Linked DNA regions of Solanum lycopersicum. The main gene of each other region encodes a partner of the protein of the gene in region 4 in a complex. Links are inferred from orthologs where the notes say so. Each region holds a gene or a part of one and is shown on either strand. Other genes may lie near its edges. The genes, in order: mitotic spindle checkpoint protein BUBR1, mitotic spindle checkpoint protein MAD1, mitotic spindle checkpoint protein MAD2 and mitotic checkpoint serine/threonine-protein kinase BUB1.

Evidence for each region.
Region 1: mitotic checkpoint serine/threonine-protein kinase BUB1 (region 4) and mitotic spindle checkpoint protein BUBR1 share a complex: the UniProt entries of both Arabidopsis thaliana proteins name them as parts of the mitotic checkpoint complex. The link is inferred for Solanum lycopersicum from reciprocal best matches to the Arabidopsis thaliana genes AT2G20635 and BUBR1.
Region 2: mitotic checkpoint serine/threonine-protein kinase BUB1 (region 4) and mitotic spindle checkpoint protein MAD1 share a complex: the UniProt entries of both Arabidopsis thaliana proteins name them as parts of the mitotic checkpoint complex. The link is inferred for Solanum lycopersicum from reciprocal best matches to the Arabidopsis thaliana genes AT2G20635 and MAD1.
Region 3: mitotic checkpoint serine/threonine-protein kinase BUB1 (region 4) and mitotic spindle checkpoint protein MAD2 share a complex: the UniProt entries of both Arabidopsis thaliana proteins name them as parts of the mitotic checkpoint complex. The link is inferred for Solanum lycopersicum from reciprocal best matches to the Arabidopsis thaliana genes AT2G20635 and MAD2.

The regions. Positions count from the first base shown.
Region 1 is NC_090803.1:68,278,600-68,284,899, forward strand, and holds the start of mitotic spindle checkpoint protein BUBR1, read right to left. Parts: upstream 3,679-6,300; 5' UTR 3,488-3,678; coding exon 3,288-3,487; intron 3,113-3,287; coding exon 3,053-3,112; intron 2,930-3,052; coding exon 2,785-2,929; intron 2,691-2,784; coding exon 2,533-2,690; intron 782-2,532; coding exon 700-781; intron 627-699; coding exon 560-626; intron 489-559; coding exon 434-488; intron 88-433; coding exon 1-87. UniProt on the Arabidopsis thaliana protein: Essential component of the mitotic checkpoint. Required for normal mitosis progression. The mitotic checkpoint delays anaphase until all chromosomes are properly attached to the mitotic spindle.
Region 2 is NC_090800.1:87,721,094-87,727,362, forward strand, and holds the start of mitotic spindle checkpoint protein MAD1, read right to left. Parts: upstream 4,215-6,269; 5' UTR 3,972-4,214; coding exon 3,792-3,971; intron 2,949-3,791; coding exon 2,849-2,948; intron 2,216-2,848; coding exon 2,055-2,215; intron 901-2,054; coding exon 703-900; intron 625-702; coding exon 532-624; intron 202-531; coding exon 85-201; intron 1-84. UniProt on the Arabidopsis thaliana protein: Required for the execution of the mitotic checkpoint which monitors the process of kinetochore-spindle attachment and delays the onset of anaphase when this process is not complete.
Region 3 is NC_090804.1:8,536,684-8,542,438, forward strand, and holds mitotic spindle checkpoint protein MAD2, read right to left. Parts: upstream 3,635-5,755; 5' UTR 3,453-3,634; coding exon 3,364-3,452; intron 2,909-3,363; coding exon 2,778-2,908; intron 2,685-2,777; coding exon 2,564-2,684; intron 2,364-2,563; coding exon 2,260-2,363; intron 2,157-2,259; coding exon 2,035-2,156; intron 1,950-2,034; coding exon 1,890-1,949; 3' UTR 1,690-1,889; downstream 1-1,689. UniProt on the Arabidopsis thaliana protein: Required for the execution of the mitotic checkpoint which monitors the process of kinetochore-spindle attachment and delays the onset of anaphase when this process is not complete.
Region 4 is NC_090806.1:64,726,332-64,732,534, reverse strand, and holds the start of mitotic checkpoint serine/threonine-protein kinase BUB1, read right to left. Parts: upstream 3,919-6,203; 5' UTR 3,801-3,918; coding exon 3,727-3,800; intron 3,650-3,726; coding exon 3,508-3,649; intron 3,293-3,507; coding exon 3,135-3,292; intron 3,029-3,134; coding exon 2,938-3,028; intron 1,462-2,937; coding exon 1,357-1,461; intron 1,275-1,356; coding exon 1,187-1,274; intron 275-1,186; coding exon 171-274; intron 78-170; coding exon 6-77; intron 1-5. UniProt on the Arabidopsis thaliana protein: Serine/threonine-protein kinase that performs 2 crucial functions during mitosis: it is essential for spindle-assembly checkpoint signaling and for correct chromosome alignment. Has a key role in the assembly of checkpoint proteins at the kinetochore.

The DNA.
Region 1 (6,300 bases), on a different chromosome or scaffold from region 4:
TTCTCTAGCTTTGGTATTTCTGATTGAAGAGTTGATGACATTCCGGCATTTGCATCTTTGTAAATGGAAAATAGGCTCCCCTGAGCTCTGCAAAATAGATAAAAATGAGCCAGTGTTTCTACTAGAACTGGGCATGCAAAAAGGTAAGTATTTCCTGCAACCTTGTTATCAGCATCCTTACACTCCTTTTCCTTCAAGTTATGGAATAGGCAGCAATAACAACAAAAAGTTCTTTTCCACATTGCAAAGGATTTAAGGTATTTAAAACAAGAACTCATCAGAATCAGATCTCTTGCCTGACATAGCAGCTTAACTATGTGATGATAAGAACAAGTAATAACGACATAGATTTGTTTAACTCATGGTGTTACTATGAAAAATGCAGGGACACAAGAACGTAACTTGGGAGAAAACAATAGTGACTCACACTTACCTATCTGGTTTCATTTTCTTCCGGGACAATTCAGAAGTTCCTGTTGTTTGGTTTCCTGCAAAGGCAAAAACAATGTTAACCAAAGCAAGCAGACACCCTGAAGCTACGACATAGAAATGCACTTACGAGCTTCCCCCCTAGCCAACAGTGTGCCAAAGCTTCTCATTGGAAGCTGGTGTTCTGTTATCTCCTCCTGAAATACAAATCGTCACAAATTCAAATCAAAGCAAACGACAATGGACTTAAGTCGTCACAATAATTGATACCTCTGCTGCTTTGGGGCGACCCATTGAACGACTGAAAAACTTCTTGTAGGATACTTTCAATTTCTCTTCAGGTTCTGCATTCCTGATTCATAGGAGACGGAAATTTTAATCATAAACCAGCTGAGGGAGTCAGTAAATAGGCTTATAAGTGGATGAGAACAAGCAGGAGGAAGGTTACTTGGTGTAATCAGTGTTCTGTACTTGTATTAACTGTATCTCTAATGGAAAAGACTCATTAGTGGCTAAGAAAGCTTGAAAAAAGAGCATCCACAATCTTGTTGAGGCAGCCCAAGGGGTCGTTTAGTTGTTGGTTAGATTATTCATATATTAAAATCTGCATAAACTAGTACCATTTTTGGCAGCATTTTAGTTGCTATGTATAAAACTCAGCACATCAAGTATGGTTTTTTGCTTACGGTTTACAATCTCACATAACTAAAACATGTACTAGTTAGGCGTCAATCTATGTATTATTTTATGCAGCTTTGAAGATGGTATAACTAATACATGAATTAGTAATACGTAAATAATTGAACCCTACATAACTAATACCTGCACAACTCTATCCAACAACCAAACTACCCCCAAAGGTATTTAGGTGTCAGGTAATATCTAAAACCAATTGAGCATCCACAATAATATCATGCCAAATATATTAGAATTTTCACCTTGCTGTAGCATTATTCTGCCAGCAAGTTTGGCCAGCATCATAGCATTCACATCCCCATCAGAAGTTAAAACAAGTAGAGAGAGAATATAAAAGGTCCCTCAAGAATGAGGCAAATGTGAACAAGAAATAAATATTTCAATATATTCTTATGTCAACAGTTGATAGCTAGAGCATTTTATTAGAAACACATACAGAGACTTGCTGTTTTGAAGGCATGAAATGCTCTTAGTAGAAAATCATGCTATACAAGTTACAAACAACATGATTAGGTTGTGTAATTAAGCAAAGTTCAATGAACAGTGGCACTGGCTATTTTGCATGCTGCCATACCTGAAATATCTATATTAGCTAAATAAATGATTAATTCCAGAGCACAAATTTCTCAATGATAACGTCTCTGTTGTTCATCCTGTACAAATGCTTAACATAATTGTGTGACATGGTACTATCTGATTCAATTGATGCCTATAAAGGAACCAATCATTTCATAATTCAAAAAGATACATGTAGTTCTTCATAATCATATTACTCGGCTTATACAAAATTTCCTTAATAAGGATATCAAATATGTTCATCATATGGCAATTAATAATTATAAAGTTTTCTAGAAGCATACCACTGTCATACGATCACGGCCTTTAGTTTATTATTCGGTCACATGAGCATATATTGAAAGAACATAAAATAAGGGACCGTAAGCAATGTAATCTACCACAGTTCTGACCTCTGAGCTTATCAAATGAAATTGTCTTAGTATTCAAGGTATGAAAATTAGTAGGTCAATATGAAGGGGACACCACATACTTATCCGTGCAGCTTCATACTTAACACTGAACTCATTTTGGCGAAGCTTCAAACATAAATCCCCTCCCCCCCCCCCCCCCAGCCCCCACACATTACTCAATACTAGCATACAATTAATGCAACTTTCGTAGACATCATTAGACTTGACATATCAAACGCTATTTGAACAAAAATATCAGACAGCAATTCAATAAACCATTTGAATGATGCATCTCACATCATAGACAACATATAGCATAACTTCTCTGGAACCAAGACGTGTTCACTTGCCTAGTGTGAAGTGAAACACAATGTTAACTATGCAAGAACCTAACTTTACGGCTAAAATTAAACCAAGGCTCAATGGAAACACAACTTACATAGATAGCCCCCGATTGAAGATCTCGTTTGCTGTTTTAATTTTATTTTGAGATTCCATGTGCAAAGCATAGGCTATGTAGAATGAAGAATGTGTCAGTCCAATTTTGTTAGCCTCCAGAAAGCTATAAATGACTTCAGCATCCATACAATTTTCAGCCTGCAAAGAGCCATCAATAAGAAAACTGATTTACCAAATTGCATGATGAGAAGATTTAGGGGCAAAAGAATGGATGTGGAGAAATCAAACTCACATATTCCAGCCACACTTTCAAGTAACGGAGGTCATTCTTATATAGTTCATCGTGCCAAAAGGTGCGGACACATTGTTCATAAATAACTATAAGTCCAGAACTGTCCCCACCGGGAGGGAAAGCCTCTTGCACCCACTTGATGCACCTTCACAATTTTAATGTAAAATTATGTCAGCAGTTTATTCAATAACAGAGATTGACTCATTAAATGCTAGTAGAAGATATAAGAGTTGAAAAATTATTTGCATCTGAAAAGAAGAGCACTCACTGGAGCCATGGGTGAAGAGGATCTTCACCTTTGTACTTGTCAATTGCTTCAATAAATTCCCTAATCAGAAAGAGTTGAATTCAAAAATTAATAAGGGATGCAGCAACTGCTACTATTCTACAACTAGCGTGTACATCTTAATCAAAATCTAGTGCGGGATGGAATAGTAATTGCATTTTGGACCAACCTCAGGAGTAAATGTCATGAAAATGCAAAGAAGAAGAAATAGAGGAACCTTCGTTTGTCAAGAAGAGATTTCTTGAGTTGATAATCGGTACTAGACTTAAGAGCATTATTGAGAAGATTAACGTTGCGTCCTCTCTTCAAAGGTCTGACATTTTCCTTGAAGAGTTCCCACTCGTGACCAGTCTCTTGCTTCGACGCTAAGAACTCTGCCTCCTTATCCAATACGTAATCTCCTCCTACCTTCTCCATTTCTTCTTCTTGCTGCTTCCTTGTGGTGGTGTTTTTTTGAGAGCCTTCTTTCAAATTTGAAATTGTTTTGTGCCCTAAACCCTTCCTTTCATAGCCGTTGGACCCTCCTTTAAATTCCAGATTTTCGCAATATTATTGGTCCCACCATGATTGAATATAAGATAAGTAATGTTTTTTAACGAGTGCGCTACTACAAACAACAAAGTGGGCCAAGTACATCGAATTTAGACCGTTGGAATTTACCCGGAAATTAATAATATGACCTATTAGTAAAATATTTAATTCAATTTAATTCAAATTTAGAGATTTAGTTTATGTGACAATGAAATCTTATTTGCAATCAATCTGATATTCACATAATATTTAACAATTTTCATCAATAAGAAGATATTTTTAATCTAATAGTTTGACGGGAATGATAGTTTTGAGCCGAAATATAGTTTAAGGATAAATATGAGCTATTTCGAATAGTTTAAGGGTATTTTTTACCCCTTTTCCATTTATTCTATGTGGCAGTAGAACCAAATTGACATGGAATGTGACATCCACATGACATTTAACAAATTCCGTTAATAAGAAATATATTTTTGACCCAATAGTATTATGGGAAGGATAGTTTTGAACTGAAATATAGTTTAAACGTAAATATGAGTTATTTCAGATAGTTTATGAATATTTATGAGTCTTTTTCGTTAAAATAATAATTAATCAATATTATTTATTGACTAGTGGTTAATTATAAAAATAATACAAATTTATAATTTCAAACATTTATTTTTTAAAAAATACAAAGATTAAGTTATTAAAAATACATTAGAGATGGCAATGCGGTGGTGTAGGGTGGGGTGTTGCGGGTTGAGCTTAACCCGCAAAAATTTTAATCTGCCGCGCCTCGCCGCGCCCTGCATGACAACTCTTTTCATTTTCAACCTGCCTCCCATAATTTTTTTAATATTTTCTTTTTCTAATTATATTTGATACTAAGATAAAATTCATAAAAATAAATTTATCTTTTCATTAAGTTGTATTAATTTAATAGGATAGTAATTTAAAATTTAGGCCAAATACAGAAGCAGATCCCTAAACTTGTTAGGTTTTTTTCCTCAGGTACCTTAACTACGTCATTTTCCTATTGAATAATTGAACTCCCATAATTTGTTCTGTTTAATCAAACACTGTTGTCTGATGTGAAATCAGATTTGTGAGGGGTATTGATAGAGGATACATATGTTGTTCCACAAATAATTAGTCCAATTGAAAGTGAAAATGTTTGAGAATAATTATGTTTTACTTGAGTCATTTGAACACATTAGAAAACAAATGAGACTAACACAGTTAGTCTTCATTCCTTCAATCAAAATTATTACAATTCGAACACAATTGAAGACATTTACAATAGAAAAGCTGATCAAAATCAACCAACAGTGTTTTAAAGAAACAAATTATGGGTGGTTGAATGATTCAATTGAAAAATGACGTAGTTGAGGTACATGAGGGGAAAAACCCAACAAGTTTAGGGATTTGTTTATGTAGTTGGCCTAAAAATTATTTTTAAGAGGTCAACTGGGAAATTGGTAAGAAATTTTATTATTTTTATTAAACCATTTTTATTTATTATTTTAAATATTTTAGTAGCTTAAAAGAAATTATCTTAATAAATAATGTTCTATCACTCTTATAACATGTAAAAACTAAAAATAAGTTTGAATTCACATAAAATTACATATACTTGCAACCCGTCCCACTCCACATTAATTTTTAAAAAGCCTACTTCAATCAGCTCCACATCTAACCGCACCACACAACCTTAAAACCATAAACATAGCCATAAACATACCCCTCGGCACACACATCCAATCCCATTGCCATCTCTATAACACACGTGTATAAATAACAATTTGCTCATTTTGTAAGATTATATAAAAATTAATTAATTTTTTAGAACATGTAAAAGAATTGATTTGAAATAGATGCACGTTTTTGTAAAAACTAAAAACTAAAAAAATCAAAGCAAAATTTGATAAAACTGAAAGTCCACCCAGGAGAGGAGAGGAGAAGAGAAAAAGGCAAAGGTGGAAGAACTGTTCCCATGGGCCCCAAGCTGAAGATGGAACCTTATCTCCAAACCGAGAAATACCAGACGATGTCGTTTTATGTTAGTTGAGCAGTACTAAATGATGCCCTGATTGTGATAGAGATATGAGATTATATTGTTCGTTATAATTTCACAAGAAATCTGTACATTTTTTTTTCCACCAGAAATCAACAGACATCCGAAAAAAGTCATCTATAATAAATAATTGTGATGGCTTTGAACTTGAAGCAGGCATCTATATTCCCAATTCATGTTGCTAGTGTAACTGGATCCAGGAGGAAAGGAGTGCAAAAGGTGATGATGATGATGAGTGGATCAGCAGGAGTACCAAAGTATAAGGGGACGCAGATGAGAGAAAAACAGCTGACGGAAATGATAGAGAAGAAAGTGAAGGAAGCTAAGGAGGTATGCAGTGAAGACGCCAGATCGGACGAGTGCAAGGTGGCATGGGATGAGGTGGAAGAAGTTAGCTAGGCTAAGGTGCATTTGCGCATCAAGCTTCAGCTTAATCAAGATCCCCTTGAACCTTACTGTCAAAATAACCCTGACGCCGACGAGTGCCGCACCTATGACCATTAATTAATTAATTATTAGGATTTCACTCTTGTTGTACTTGGACTTGTCTACTGTATTTCTCTCCAATTTAGAATGATTACAGTTAATTACTAGTACAAAACCCTCCATCTGCTTTTCAGGTTTGTTATATTAGTTATATCTT
Region 2 (6,269 bases), on a different chromosome or scaffold from region 4:
CAACACTGACTGTAAGTGCTAGTAAGAACTAACAAAAAGCATTTAATTGCACATTAGACTATCACAAATGATGATGTAACTTACATAGCTTCTAAGTTCCTCCTGCAAATGCTTCACCAAAATGTTGCTGTCACTAGAACAACCTTCTTGAAATGTGAAACTTGACAGTTTCTTCTCTGCTTCAGTTTTCTGCTGCATGCACTGGGAAAAGACAAAAGAAAATTGTAAGTTCATTATAATGCAACATTGCCAAAAATGATAAACTAACAGACAGAAAATGATGCAAATGACAAAAAGAAAATAGACAGAAGAAAACATGCAAGACCATCATAGAGGATCTCATTTGATGACATTCAACAACTTATGCAATTACATATTAAAATGTCAAAAAATAACTTCATCAAAAGAATCTAAAATTTGAAAAAGAATAGATAAGCCTCCACTCTCTTTGCTCCAACATATGCTTGTGCGAACTCATGAGTGATGTTTAAGACAACAAAGCAGTAATTCTAAGATAGAAGATGCATTGACCTCATCAAGTCTCTTCCTTAGTTCTTCCAGCTGCTCCTTCAGCAGCACTGACTCTTCCTCGGCATTGGTAGCTCTGAATTCCATTCTTTCAAGCTGCATGAAAGCATGTTAGATGTTGGATATAGCATTTCCTTGCACCTCAGACAGAGCTTTCACAGAACAAATTCTCACATTGTTACTTATTTTTGTGATAGAAAACTTGGATTCACTTTTGAGCAGCTCAAGATCATTCTGCAAACGACTTTTCTCTCTTTCTATACTTTCCGACACACTACTAAGCTTTCTCTCTAAAAGACTTGCTTTTTCTTCTGCTGCAGCAGCTGACGTCTCAACTTTTTTACGAAGATTCATCTCGTTTTGGAACTTCACCTAGAAGACAATGAGATGGGAGACAAATTATATCACAGATGGCACGAAGGAGATAGTTAAGAAAGTTATACAGATTAAGTACCTCAAGAATTGATAAATGCTAGCAAAGAAAACCTCCAATAGAAACATGAATAACTGGAGGTATGTCCCCAACCATTCATTCAGCAGTTAAATGGTAAATCTCCTCCTATGCATTTACACTCTGATGTATACATGTTGCTATAAATTGTTGCTTAAAGAAAGAAATAACAGAAAACAACTCTAATATTACGACCAAAGCATGACTTGTGCTGAGCATTGAGGACCAAGTCACCACACCTCAACAAATGAGATAGATGTACACAGTTTCTTTTATCAGGAGATAGATGTACACATTATTAGTCACAAATCAGTGTCATTATCATTATAACTTGAAAATTATGGTCCCTGCTACTTTTTATTTCAGTTGGAAAGAAAAAAAATGTAATAAAGTTTAAGATGCAGTCTAATCAGATTAAGATAGTGTCTGACTCGCTTCTTACAGAGTCCATGTTCAGTCTTGGTTGGTTCCAAGACTTTTGCAGGGTAAATGCGATGACTCCAGTTGTTTTGGAGCACAGAGTGCAAAAATTGGCTTGGTTTCAAGATGTAGAATCTAAGAAGGATCTCATTTGATATATATTCAAAGTGATTTATAAGTGGAAACTGCTTATTATCCTCAACAACAACATACCCAATATAGTCCCACAAGTGGGTTTCCTCTCCAGATCACTTATACACGGGCTATTCAGAGGAAGGGGTTGAGTGTTTTCAATATGATTTTTTTCTTGTATTTGTTCAATGAGAAATGCTAATTTGTTTCGTCCCCTTACGTCATCCCCCTCTATCAAAATGATCGAAAAGGAAAGCGAGATTGCTTCTTATTCCCATTTGATCTCTTCCATCTGTGTGTCTAAGAATTCCTTGTCAAAAAGAGAGTGTAGTCTCTTCCTAGGCATAAATTATCACACTTACCAAACCAAATTGCCTTAAAGTTAAGTTCAATTTACAGATTAGACCAAATTATTGATGAACTCATACAGCAGCTTAAAAACATGCCAGCCAAAGAGAACCCATTAATTCTTCTCAAGAATGTGACATAAATATAATGAGAAATGACAATTAACATCTAGCACCTCAAGTTCATTGTACAACTGCAACTGTTTTCTGAGCCGTTCATGAGAAACGTTGACCTCCTTCATTAGCTGGTCCTGCAGAGCCTCTTCACGCCCTTTAGCAGCAGCTAGTTCTTGCTCTGCATTGAGAAATTGATCACGAAATTTCTTCCTTTCAGCATCTGCACGTGTAATTCATGTCATCATGCAAATTAATCAATAAGTATTGGAGTATACTTTGCAGAAAAGGTGAATTACAAACCAAATAGTCATTATCCCTCCAGTGGAGTAAAGGGTCAGTGGTGAACAGAGAGAAAAAAATACAAAGGAAATTAACAAAAGAAAAATAAAAGGCATGACAGTTGCTACAAAGGAGTCAACACATGATTAAGGAGACAAAAGATATGAAGACAAATAATATCACTCCAATATGTGTATGAATGGATGTATGTTTGTGTGTATCTATATATGTATGCCTGTATCCATTTATGTAAACACGTGTGTGTATGTTGGAAAGTTACTTCAGTGAAGTTGCCAGTTCTCACATATAAATTTTGAAATAAAGAAGACAGCCTTTTAACAATTGAAATCAGGGGAGCAATTGAACTGTACAAACAAGATTAGCTTAGCCAAGGAACAATTGTAGTGTGCTCTATAGATGTCTCTATCAAAGAATCTTCATTCTCTGGTGTAAAAGTGCATTAAATTGAGCAGTAGAAGGTAAACTTTTAAAAAAGTTTGTTGAAAGGACAAGGAGAAACAAAATCATGTACCCAGTCTATCATAATTCACAGAATTGGATATTTATCACTCACCAGCTTTAAGATAATCATTGTTTAGTGCTTCAAGTTTCGATTGGTTATCACGAGCTTGCTTTTCTGCACTGCTTAAGGCATCAAAAAACTCTGACTTCACCTGATAACAGAATTTGTTTTATATAGATATAAGCAAACTCGTGCAGGCTATCACAAGAACTGAGTACAATAAATAGACAGGGAGCCGTTGATCGGTCATTGGCCAATATAAGAGACACAAGAATGTTAACTTAAAGGAATATATTATTTAACTCAGAGGTCTTCCATCATCTTCTGTGACGCTATCCAAATGTGCTAACCAAGATTAGCTCAATTTGAGTCCATTTAAGATGCAATTATAAGTTGTTCTTTAGTGAAGTAAGTACATTTGTGTTATCAAAAAAGATGAAGTAGATTGTGTTAATGGAGGGCATAAAACACCTGTATGCAAGTAGTATACAGAAAACTAGCAAACAATGTTCTAATTAATTTATATAAAAAAATCTTGCTTGTGATTAGTTCATTGTGAAGAAGCTCAGCCTCAAGTTGACTCAAGAATCAACTACGAATTGGTATACACATCTAAGAGCAAATTCTATCAACATATGAATAAACTTTGAATATAAAGCTCATCAAGGAATCAACCCAAGTTCGAAAAACCATTCTCTTAACATGGATTAATTAGCACTCCAGTAGCAATAAAATCACAGACATGTTTAGTCTGGGAAAATCTCATTAGGTGGACAAAGCGAAAAAACTGAAACAGTCAAGGGAATGGGTGCACCTACTATCTTCATCTCAAGATATATACATAAATAGTTGCAATTTCCACTACCACATAAGAAGAAAAATAGGTATAAGCCTCACTATGTCTGCAGTCACTGATTTAAAACCTTGAATTTACTAAAAAATCAATTCAATACTGGAATTGTAATGAAGAGAGTGGGAATTAATGAATGAATACCATTTGGCGGCATTGATAAGTGCAGAGCATTTGTTCGGAAGATTCTGGGTGATGGTGAGATGATTCCGGCAACGGTGTATCCTCGAAGATGACAAGCTGCTGATTGCCGGAGCTGGGACTTCCATCTTCCGGTTGATTGCTCTGCGCCTTTCGCTTGAATGGTGGTGTTCTCAGGATCATAATACTAGGGTTTTGATAACTTCTACAGTAATTGAATCAAGCTCCGATGATGGCGATTGATGAAAATGTAAGAGGCGAAGCAGCTACTGCAAGTGTTTCGAAAACTGAGGCGCCAATTGGTGAATCGGACCCAAATAATCCGTCGCCAGAGATGACCCGAATCCCTTTGGGCTACTGCTACACTTGTTTGGGTCATTCCCACAAATGTCCTTATTTTGGGCCTCTCACTAATTTTTGCTCTTCAAAATAGGAGTAATATTTAATATCTTTATTTTTGAGTAACACTCACGTGTAACAAACATAAAATTCATATTGGCTTATTATAGGCTTACAGCTATAGTTTGCATAATTAAGATCCATAGCAAATATAAATATGTATATTTCGTTATACATATACAAAAAAAAAACAGATGTATAATTTGCTATACACATACAAACAAAACAGTTGTTAATTCGTTATACATATACAAAAGAAAACAGTTGTATACAAAAGATCAATTATATAATTGGTGTATGTATAAAACGAGAAATGGAGAAAAGCAAAAAAAGCTGGGTAGGAAAATATTTATATTGTATAATTATAAGTGTATATACATTTACACGTGTATATACAATTTTCTATCGCTTTATACAAACAGAAACGTAATTTATACATTTCGTTTCTGTTTGTATAAGGAGAGAGGCGAGCGAGATCTGGGAGAGTGGCGAGCGAGATATGGGAGAGTGGAGAGCGAGATATGGAAGAGGAGAGAGAGGAAAACGAAAATATACGTATATATACAATTTCCTGGCGATTTATACAAACACAAACGCATTTTATACATTTGTGTTTGTATAAAAAGCAAGAGAGGTGAGTGAGACTGCCACCAAACGAGAGTGGCGAGCGAGATCCACCAAGTAAAGAGGCGAAAATAACAATAGTTTGCTATAGGGCACAATTAAATCGAAGCTTGTTTACAACATTTAATTTGAATTAATAACTTGCTATTTTATACAATTTCCTTTATTTTTTAGAGCGTAAAAAATGAAAAACGAGATATAAGTTCAGTTAAAGCTATATCCTAGAACAATAATTTAGTAACACAAATTATGATCCCAAGACCCCATTAAAAAAAAAAACTCAAAGACACAAGTTATGCTTCAGTGGCTCAAATTAGAAATCCAAATATCAGATATTATAAAATTTATACTTCAATCTAAACACTCTCTAAAAAAATTTGCCTTTGTGATATTAGTTTTGCCCAACAAATTTAGGTCACAATTTAAAGTACTTATTAGGTCCACAAATTTTCATTAAATAGACAATAAAGGCAAAAATTAAAGACCATAAATTTAATGGACAAAAAATTAATATCATCCCAAAACAAAGGTATTCTATGCAAAAACTTTAACTTGTTGTAAGCATAAGATAATTAACCACTAAAAATAAGCACATGAGACTAACTAATAAAACAAGTGCTTAAAAACTTTTTTTTTTTATTTACTTGTACACTACAAAAGTGTTAAAGAAAATTATTTCAACTTATAAGTGTACTTATCGAAAATGATAGGTAATTTTTCAATGCTAATATATTATACTCTTGTTAAAATAGGTTATATATTATGTTGAACAGTGATGTTAGGCTTATTGAAATTAAACCCAACACCAATAATATACCGATTTTGAAATAAAGTCATCATATAAAAAATGATTGACATTTAATTTTGAGATGATAATAAAAAATAAATTGAAACTACATTACTTTTTTTTTTATATAAATTTTGTTTTTTACTATATATTATTTTCTTTACCTGCCTAAATTATTAGAATCTATATTGAACATTAAATATATAATTTTTCAAAAATCAACCTACAAATATTATTCAAGACCATACTAAAATAATTCCTAATAAATTTTTGACCATTTTTGTCTCCATTATCCCTAAAGACCCGGGAAAAAGATTTCTTAATTTTCTCCTAATTTTATTTTTGTTAATGTCTTTGAGCTAATATGATAATGACATTTGAAATAAAAATTCAGATGTACGTGCATAGAAATTTATGGGACATAAAGAATTTTTGAAATCTAATTGACCCTCCACCTTAATTAAAACCATGAAATAAAAAAGAAAAAAATATTAACTTATAGAAAAAAAATAACATTGACTTGTAAAAGTTTAAAACTTTTAGTTTGACAAAATATTTTTTTTATTACAACACGTTTAATTTATTGCAATATGAATGCATCATACTTCAATTTTTTGTGTTTAACAATTTCAGCAGCATCATTTTTAGACCATCTTTAAGTTCTTAAACAA
Region 3 (5,755 bases), on a different chromosome or scaffold from region 4:
AATAACTTTGAAATAAATTTTTACAAGTTAATTGGTCACAGTAGTGCTTCACTTTTCAAACAATTCTAAAGTATTTTTCGTTACCTCAAAAATCAAATTAGTTATTTGTTTGGCCAAATGAATTAGTTGTTGGATAACTGCAAGTAAGCGAACGTCTTAGATGCTTTCAAAATCTTCCTAATAAGAATTCCCGAACTCCTTTAAAGTTTTCAAAATGATTTTTCTGTTTATTTCTTTTGAAAATATAGTTTTCTTGATTTTTCTCAAAAAATAAAGTGGTGACTTTAAAAAGTTGAAAATCTGAAAAAATAAATAATTTTTCTTTTTTCAAATAAAACAATATTGATTTGAAAAATATAAGTACAAAGTCATGCAATAACTGGAAAAAAATTTATCAAAAAAATTTATCTGAAGTATGCAAATACTAAAATCAACATAAATCATATGAGCCACTACATGAAGTTCAATATATTGTCAAACTAAAAAGTTGGTGTAATATTTGTCAAGATACGGGACCTGAGTGAGCTAAAGTGGGTTCACTAAGCTAGTGTCTATCTTAGACAGCTCTAAATGACCTTTTAAAATAAATTTAAATATTTCACATATTTTTTGATGAAAAAATTATTTATCTTTAAAAGGTTAATAAACTTTATATAAACTCGAATGCAAACTCATTTATTCAAAATTAAACTATTGTGAGATGTACCTAGATATATATTTTCGTATTTCTTATCAATTTAATTCAAAAAAAATACTATAAAATTTATAAATCGTAGAGATTTAATGTTATAGTCATCCTAATTAAATGTTAATACCAAATTATAAATTAGCAAATGATTAAAGGTCTTTTCTTATAGGGAAAATTAAAAACGATGCATATCATGTTTAATAAAATTACATTGAAAAATTGAACCAATAATAACTAATTGATGAATGCAAATTATATATATTTACTTTGATATTATTAATTTAAAATTTTATTAAATTTGTTTGTTTTTATATTTTAACTTTTAACGAAAACTGACTGAAACCAAATCATAAATATCCTTAAAGAAAAAACAATTGTGCTGATAATAAATATTTCAGAAATAAAACTAAAAAAATAACATCAAAGATTTATTTCTTCTTCTTCTTCTTCTTATTGTTATTATTTCATCCACTTCCCAAAATAATACAGAGATGTAATGACTATCAAAAATGGAAGACTTTAGCCATCCAAGGATCCGTGGCGCAATGGTAGCGCGTCTGACTCCAGATCAGAAGGTTGCGTGTTCGATTCACGTCGGGTTCAAATTTCCCGATTCATGAGGATCCAAATTTTTTTATTACTTTCTTATTTTATTAGACTAAAAACACTATAATTTATGTGCAATCCGTTAACTTCGACAAAAAGATCATGACATTAATTGATTATTTATTTTTAACGGCATGATAACTTTGTATGTAAGAATAAAAAAGGCACACTGATCTTCTTCCCCCGTTACCTCTCTTTTTTAGAGAATGTTGAAGGCAAATTTCAAAAGTCAAAAAAAGTATTTATTTTCTCCGTTCAAGAAATTGCCTGCGTAGTTGGGGGAGACGGAAGAAAGAAAAAAACCAAAATTTCAACATAATTTGAGTTGCGTATAAATCCAAGCCGACGCAAACAACATTATTATGTGCTATGGCAATGTGTAGACAACAAGGACGTGTAAAAAAGTACCCAAATATATTTCACAAGGCAAAAAACATGTTCACACGGAGAAATTGATCTAATTGTTCAATTTCCTTCAATACTCATTCAGGATACAAACTAATAGATGTTTCAAGGTTTACACAATCTAACATACAAAATGTGAATCAATGATTCACAATGACAACAAAAGTAAGGTACAACAAGGATCCATGGTCTAGGACTCATCCCATTCATCATCATTCTTATATGAAACCAATGTGTCAACCTTATGAATCTGCATAGAGAAAACAAAACTCGAGTTAGGGTCACCGAAATATCCAGGGGATTCGTATCAGAATCAAGCAGCAAATTGCTCCTACCTTAGTGTCAAAAGAGTGCAGTTTCACCATTTGTGGATTCGCAATCAGTTTAGGGTCACTCTCAATCCAAGTGAATGGAACTGCAACATCCATATCAGTGTATGCTAACACATCAAACACACCTACAGCCATACACACAAATGAAACAAGAAATCTCATCAAGAAACATCCCAAAAAAGCAACATTGCCATTGTATCGTAACATCCAAGCACAAATGATGCTTACATGGTTCCTCAAGGCACGGCAAATAAGTGATGCTGGACGCTATTTGCCTCATAATCGCTTGAATTTCCCTCATTATTTCTTTATCACTTTTCTCTCTTGAAACACTGGAAAATCAAATAAACCATTTAGCTAATTATTTAACAAACAATCCAACATACGAAGACATCAAAAGCAAGCCAGGGTTGAGTATTTGGCTCTGGACTATTTAAGCACACGAACGAAATTATAGGTCTTCTGCCATAATAACTCCAACATACACTTCTTTCAATCCACAATTATTAACCAAAGATGATTAACATCTTACCCTTTCTGGACAACCTCACTATCAGTTTCGATACTGAAATTCCACCTTTCTAATACCTCACCAGAGGCCTTACTCATGATGACAAGAACCACCCTTTGTAGCTTTCCAGTTTCCAACCACTCTACATGAACAAAATCGTTAAGAAAACAATCATTTCACTACCTAATATATGATCTGAACCAATCTACAGCCTCGTCAAAATTCTACAACTTACCAGCAAGTTGGGCAGTCAAGTTGGAAACAAAGGTCTTGACACCTTCATCTTCAGTAAGCAACATTGTGAGACCATATTTCTTCACTTTCTTAAAACTTTCTTCAGGATATACTCCTCTGTTGTACAAAATGCTAAATACATAATCCCCGCACAAATTCAAAAAAAAAAAATCAGCATTCAGACAAAACCATAAACAACGAACATAAAAGGAATTAATCAATCAACAATGGCCGATGGCCAACGTAAAACTAATTGGAATCAGTCAGATAAATCAATTCATCCGCTCTATTGTAGCCCATTTTAGTCCAATGCAGGTAAATAAACGAAGAACACAAAGCATTTTATTCAATCAATCGGAAAATCAACAACGTATCGATTGATGAAATCTATTCAATCCAATTTCATTACTAATCTGCTCAAACCCAATTTCATTGGGCTGAATTTCAGGTTGATAATTAATTTTCAAAGCAAATTTAGGGGTTTTGTGAAATCTATCTAAATCTGAGATCCGATCACTATGTGAACAACGTGCAAGTCTACATAACCAAAATTTGATATGAAAAAAACAGGAATTCCGAGTTGTTACCTGTTTGCAGCATAGCCAAAATATTCACTGACGATTGCGGCGGAACCACGAAGTGTGATTATGTCTTTGGAGGCTGTTCTTGACGCCATTTTCAGATTAGGAAATAGAAGTAGAAAAATGGTTATGGAGATTGATTGCTTGTGAGAGAATCAGAGATGAATTTAGGGTTTTTATGAGAATTGAGAAACATAGTGGAAGAAGCAACGGCTAGTTTTTGGAAATGACACAAAACAACGGTCAGATGGGTTTAGTGCAAAAATTGGGCCACACTGAAAATTTATAACTTATATAAGTATAGTTTATATAATTATATCTTATGAGTATAATTTAGTTTGCTATGGAGCATTTAATTTGCATATTAAGTTTTTTTTGTTTATAATTTATAAGGAAAATACATAAGTATCCCCAGACTATAACTGAAATTCTAGAGACACACCTTAACTAAATTAACTTCCTATTATCCCTGAACTTTTTTTTTTGTAATTTTGAGCACTTTTTGTCTTATATAATTATATTTTACGAGTATAATTTAGTTTGCTATGGAGCATTTAATTTGCATATTAAGTTTTTTTTGTTTATAATTTATGAGGAAAATGCATAAGTATCCCCAGACTATAACTGGAATTCTAGAGACACACCTTAATTAAATTAACTTCCTATTACCCCTGAACTTTTTTTTTTGTAATTTTGAGCACTTTTTGTCTTATGTGGCACACTTCGTGGCTCCACGCGATTGAGACACGTACGAGATATTTGAATGTCACGTAAGCTAAAAAGGTGCACAAAGTTACAAAAAATAAGTGTAAGGGGAGGGGGTGGAGGTAATAGGACCTTATTTAGTTAAGGTGTTTCTCTGTGATTTCAGACATAGTATAGGAGGGTACTTGTGCAATTTTTCATAATTTATGTAATATTCTACTTAATAAATGGATACATGAACGGTAATAAGGTAACAAAATACTTGCATAATCCCATGATTCAAGTTAATCTTTCAAATCAAATATTTTTTCAAAAAGAGTTCTATAACAATACAAACATCATAACAATTGTTATCCTCGTACCACAAAAGCAAATATAAAATGAAAAATTCATGGTTCGTCAATATTCTTGTATATTTTTCTTTTAAGAAAACTTCATGTTTTAAAGTGTGAAAAAGAATAAGATTGATTTGCATAGTATATAATTGAAATTTTTAAAATTGCAAGTAGTTATATTTGGTCATAAAAATATAAACAAATTGTATATTAACAATTCTATTCTAATTGTTGGTTAAAAAAATCGAGTAATGTTATATGTATGAGTTGTATATGTATACCACTGCATGTGGGGGGCGTATTTTCGTGGTTATTTGCAAATGAAAATAAATCCCTATGAAAACGATAAAAAGTATATGTCAATATGTAAATCGAATATTTATACAATTAATTAATATTTTCAATTATATACGTTACACATATAAACTATTTGTATAAATAAGAACTATTTATGGTTGTATATAACTATAAACTCTATATGTATATGGTTGTATATAACTATAAACTCTATATGTATATAATTATGTGTACATTAATATAGTACTTAAATATACAGAAATATACATATTATACCTCAAATATTTTTTTGTATATAACTATCAAAATATAAACTCTATATGTATAGGATTATATGTATATAAATATAGTACTTATATATATATATATATATATATATATATATATATAAATATACGTATACCTCAAAAAAATTGTATATAACTACCAAAATATACAAATCGCTATATACAAATTTATTTTATACAATTACCTGATATTCTTTAGATTTGTTAATACATAAAAAAATTTACATATACCTCAAGCAATTTTGTATGTAACCATCAAAATATACAAATTGCTACATACAAAATTATTTTATGCAATCAAGAAGATCTGATGAAGATGTTCGCGATTGATTACTATTAGAATTATTAGATATCTTGATTGATTAAAATTGTGTTTTAAGACACTACCTCCTGATCCTGATGTTCTTCGAATCTGTCAATTTCAGATTCACTCTCCTGTGAATCACTGGTTATTGCTTTCCTCTTTGTTCCTCCTTTGACAATTTTAATGCCGCTAGCTATGACGTTGTTAATAACTTTTTGAACTACCATTGAGTCATTTTTTTTCTTGGATCTCAATTCTTCCATTGATTGCTCATCTTGAACTTATATGGATAGACCCCAAAATCTTGAGTTAAATTCATTAAAAACGAGAGTAATTTGTCAACAAAATTGACATGCAATGACATACATTTGGTAGTCCTCATAAATGAAGATGATTCATCTATTCTGATTTTGAAGAATTTATAATCTAATGAGAAAGAACGATTATTTTAACAAAAAAAATAAAAAAAA
Region 4 (6,203 bases):
CATACTTCTTTTTCAGGAATTCTCATATCCAGTTGACGATAAATGTAGAATTCCCACGGGAAAGCTGGCTTTTGAATCTGCAGAGATCAATAATATAAAAAAGAAACGTGAGGACATTTCCAGTGTCAGAATTCCTCATGAAGGGAAATAAGGATAAACTATTATTTCACCTTAAGTGCGACAACCTCATCTGGATTACCATCACAACATGCTTTAAATACTTGAGCAAATCCTCCCTGACCTGCACATCCCTTGATCTGATAGCTGTATCCACCTGAAACCATTCCACGATGAGACACATTTAGCTGACAGCACACCAAGTTCATGTTCATGTCTATAGACAACTGAATTCATCAGATTTTATCATAAAATTCCATTTCCAAAATTTAAGGCAGAAAGTGCAATTGGGCCGAGGATCTTCCGAAAACAGTCTCTCTATCTCCACGAGGTAAAGATAAGGTCTGCATACACTCTACCCTCCCTAGACCCCACTTGTGTGATTACACTGAGAATGTTGTTATTGTTGTAAAGCAGAAAGTGCAATAAGTAACTCTTAGGCACCATGCTTTCACTCTTCAAGTTGATGGGGGTGGATTTAGGCCTCTGCCACCTCTCCCTACTGGAGTTGATATCCACCAAACTACAACAGATACCATAAGGAATGAATGAGCTCTCTACATCTAGTGATAACATTCGATAACACTCCTCTGGCTCTCTTTTTATTATCTAATAGATACCCAGTAAGCATCTCATTTAAAAGAGCTTAATAATATCCATACCACCTTTAATCACACAAAAAATTGTGAGGGAAGAAAAGATGGGGGAAAGTTATGAAAAATATATGTATATCCAATTCAAACTTATGATGTGTCTGAATTAGGTGATGTTTGTTTAAAATTTTCAAGAGCGTCTAGAGAAAACAATTCAAGGGGTAATTGTGAAGGGCATACATGCTAAACAAACCAAGGCATAAAATACTAGTGTATATATTGCGGGTCAGACCCAAGTATCAAGGTACTAGTCCCAAGAGACCTCAGTCCTCCATGGTCACTGCAGGACATTTAGAAGATGTGTTGCCCCAAGGGCCAAGACCAGTCCCAACTTTGCCGTCATCTTAATCTCTGCAACTGTCAGTGAGCATCGAATACTATGTAGCCATTATAGACTAAGAAACAAGAATTTTTACCTATATCAATAGTTTTATTCCTGGCAGATTTCTGCAAAGTTGACAGTGCTACCTTTCCTGAATACGCCTTTTTGCTTGGATGGTATCCCTGATGAAAGTTCACATGTAGCTATCACGAATTGCTGTTAACATGTAAAATAGTTTCATTAAATGCTTCTGAGCAATCTCACATCATATCTTATTATCTCAGTATTCTTCTTCTGCAACAGATTTTTAATTGTTGAGATCACCCATGGATTGACACAAGATCCACCATTCTCCGACACAATGTCCATCTACGTGATGATGCATAAATAAATCAATAATATAATCCTGTGTCAACTAAACACATGGAATAAAAGAGTAAGAATTGAAATAACAGACAACATGATAAATAGTCCATAAGTATTCCAAAACAAGAGAAAATGAAAAGAGATTGTAGAACTCTGGTACATCAGAATCTCACAGTTTGAAAGAAAAGACTGTGATAAGCAACAAAGATAGCCTAGAGGCAACATGAAATTAATTATGCATGTAAATAGAATCAACGAAATGGGCAAATGAACTTGAAGGCTCCCAACGGAAATGAAGTACAGTGACTATCCTACAATCTTACCACTTGATATTCAACTTGAAGATTTTAGGCCAGCTTATCTGGATGTTAGAAACTTGACAGATCTAAAGGGTGTTAACTTTGGGTAAAGAATAGATTAAATATGACTAATAACATTCTTGGCACTGAAATTAGAATGTGTTGTATGATGTAATAGGGTGTCTGAAAGCAAACATAGAAATTCTTTGACAAATAAACTTGACTAATTACTAAAGAGCAAGACAATCATAAAATGGATGCTAAATATTCATCGTGACAAAAGTCAACACTTGACTTGCTTTATCAGCACTTGTTGACTCTCTGATAATGAACATATTCTAACAACATATGACATTGCAGATTTGAGAAGTCTGCAGATACTTAAAGTTACCAGAAAACACATTATATAATTTAAAATCATTAGGGCTCAAATTTCAAATGTAAAAATGCTCAACTTACCAATACTGGTAAGATTCCAACAAGGTGGTTAATATCTCAATACTTTTAAGTAGCTTTAGCCTTTTGGGTGTCTATTAAGTCTTAAGACTTTTTAGAAGCTGAGTTTTCAATTTATCAGATGGTCCTAAATGTTCCTTTTTTATCAGATGGCATAGTGATGATGGAATTTATTGAAGCTACACGATATTGATAGGCGACTAGAACTCTATAAATGAAACCATTCCCTTCTGTCATCTAGGTCAAAGCTCTGATGGTTAATTGTTATATCACATTCATTGATCATTTGATATATCATATGAGCTATCAACTAAATGGAACTCATCAACCGACCAAATCTACTTGTCTGGAATATTAAGAGTTAGCATTATATTTTTAGCTGGAAGCAGAAAAAACTGATATTCACATCACTATCTATGTTTCATTTATGCAGTATGGATTGAACAAGAACTAAGAAAGCTGGAAATGCAGATAGCTGAATAGATGTCAGAGATTTGGTCCTAATCTGCATAACAAGAAAATCCAAGCATGAAGCCTTAAAATGTCCTTTATGCATTTAAGCCAAGATAAATGATTTATCTCATTGAAGTTCAGCAGTTCCTTTCTAGGTAATAGCTTGATTACTGAATCCAGCATCACCAATTCCAAAGACCTAACTCTACACTTATAACATTATCACACCTTGTCCCAGTTGGCACAGATTCTGAAAAAGAACCAAACATACCTTCTGTAATGAACCAGCTGTTACTTTCTCAGACATTCTCTCAAGAAACAACACTTGTGCCTTCTTCAATCTGCCCAAAGGCTCAGCATTCCTAAAACCAGAGTCCAAAGTTCATGAATTTAATGTCATATAATACAAACGCAGACATGTGCTGACATGCATAAAGAATTATGATCCTACAAAAGAGAATATGTAACCTTGAAATTCCCAAATGGTAAATGAGAAATGCATCAATTAACCTCCCTTTTGCCTCTAGGAATAACGCATATGTCTCGTAAAGCAAAGAATTGAACAGACAAATCTTATTCTGCTCAATTTCTCTATATATGCTTTCGTGATTCGAACTGCTATCCATCTGAAACACAAGCGACCACTAGATCAGATAAAGCAACAAACATTTCACATCACTTGTATACAAAGTGCATCTTTATCACGAAAGTAGTGTACACTCTACACCAATTAACTCAAAATCCCAAATATACCTTTGCCCAAACACTTCACATCACTAGGTTAAACATATACATAAAGAAATCAATACAGGAAAAACAAAAGGGAGATAGGATTTATTACATATAGGAACCAAATCTTGAGAAATCTGACGTCGTTTCGGTACCGAGGATTGTTCTTAAAGGTACTGATGCAGTTCGAGCAAAGCTCATGCAGATCTCTTCCATCAATTGACGTTCGCTCTTTCAGTGATTTCTCAATTGACCTACGAATTAGGGCATAACATAAACAATTGAACGAGTACAAATGCAAATTTTGGGAGAAAATAAGATAAAAAGGTACCATAACCAAGGCAATAACGGGTCGTCGGAGCTAGTTGTATTGCTTTGATTTTTTGAAATGACGGCCATTGCCATCTGATTCAGCCTCACTCGCCGGAAAATGAAAAATTGTCCTACTGGTTCAGGGAGATGAAACGGGCGGGAATACAATGTATTTGAATTTTGTTGTGAGTTTCGGACTAAAATATTTCTCCAACATCCTTATATTATATAAGTAAACAAAATACATTCTTATAATATTCAAAAAAAAAATAGCAGGAATCGTCCCTCAGTATATTTTTATTAAGAAAATGATAGAATCAATAAAAAAATAATTTAATTGATCATGTTTTGACCACGACGAAAACATCAAAGTTAGCTAAAAGAAAAATAAGAATATAGATAGAAGATGAATCTTCAATTTTCAGAATCTAAATTTGAGTGTTGTTAATTTATATATTTTTTTGCATCATCAAGTAAATTGACTTGCATCAATAATACTCTCAAATTTCAATGGTTAGAAAGATTATTTTTTAAAAAAAAATCATTTCAAAAATATTACGTCCAAATATTTAGAGATTTTTTTTAATAAAATATTTAGAACGTATCTAATATATCTACAACCAAATACCAATTTACATTTTAAATAATGCACAAAAATGCTTAAAATTTAGCGAAATAGGCATTTTGTTATGAAAATAAAAAAAAAATTACTTTATTTAAAAATTTTGAAGTTAGAGTAGTATTTGCCTATATTTTTACAAAGAATATTTAGAATTTGAATGTATTTTGTCTAAATATGATTTAAATTCTCAATTCCTAAAATAAAAAATCACCTAATTTGACTAGCATAACCTTGCACATATATTCATTCGACTTGATACTTTTTTTGTTGGCAATGTTAATTTCTTAAATCAGATAAAAGGATGAATCTTGCAACTCTTTAAATAGTTCAAGAATATTTTTTGTTCACTTATATAATATAAGGATGTACTTTAGGTTTAGCTCATACTTCAACGATAGTTTTAACCAAAACTTTTTCACATGATGTGCGTATAAAATTAATCAAATCACACTTTGTTAGTTATAACTTCATAATTAATTAATTAATATTCTATCCTCAAGACAACGATGCTTTAATGTACATGTGGCTTTGTTTCAACAATGATTGATTAATTTGATTTGTATCAATTATCGTTAAATTATATGAAACCCAATATTAGGAATATTAGGTGTGTGTAAAAATTAAATTGATCGATAAATTAAATTGAAAAAAATATTATTGGATAATAAGGTTATTAAATTTTTAGTGGGTTTATTAAAAAATTATTGGGTAATTAATTTGGTATTGATTTTTACTATTGGGTTATTGGGTATGGTAACAATTTATAATTTTACCCTTTTTAATTATTTAATATATTATTAGACACTATAACTATATCAAATTATTAGTATTCTACCAACTTCACGCTAGACCGCTTTACTAGTTTTTACTGTTTACTCAAAATCTAAATATTAAAGTAAAAGGTTTACAATTGTAGTTATTTGATTTTAATTTTAGTCTTGTTAGACTATTTTTTGTTTTAGTTTGTGATCGTAGCTTGTAGCAATTTGCAAGTTTGTAAAGGTCCGTAAACTGATTAACATAAAAAAATTTCATAATATGTTTTGATGGTAACATGTAATTATAACATTCATATTATATTTTCTCTTATTGATGCATTTCTCATTATCTCTCTTGTTTCACCATATCAAAACATTTAGAGAAATGAAAAGAGATATAATATTTTACGGAAATTTTTATTGGGTAAAGGTAAACCGAAAACTAAATTGATAATAATAAAAGATCGATAAAGAATATCTTATTGGTTTGTTATTGGTTTAGCATATTTAAAAATCGAAAACCGATAAACGAAATTGATAACACATAAAATCGAACCGAACCGACCGATGCACACCCCTACCCAATTCAACAATCTCTATTAATCTTCTTTTTTTAATTTTTGGTAATCTCTTCCTTTATTTCAATTAACAAAAGAAATTAAAAATGATAAGTGACTAGTGGGTCCGACCTGTAATATAGTGCAAGCTTTAGAATTAGTAATGTAACGTATTTTATTCACTTATTACTCTTTGTATTGGTACTTCTAAACAATTGCAAATATAATATATATATATATATATATATATATATGTATATGCACGTATCTAAAAAATTTATATCGTTATTGTCCATCCTAACCTCACTTGCTCATCGGCGTTTATATCCCGTCATTATTTACCCCGTCCTTACTTGTTCATCGATTTTTCAGTTGGCCAATATTGTGCTCATATAACTTAGGAATACATAACATATACATATGATTTATCATAATTTATCATACATAACTACATACATCCAATTTCTGTTTTGAAAACACATTTATACACATACAATTAACCTCCCCACCCCACATTTATCCACTCGATTTCAATTAGGATTAGGTTTTGTGCATACAC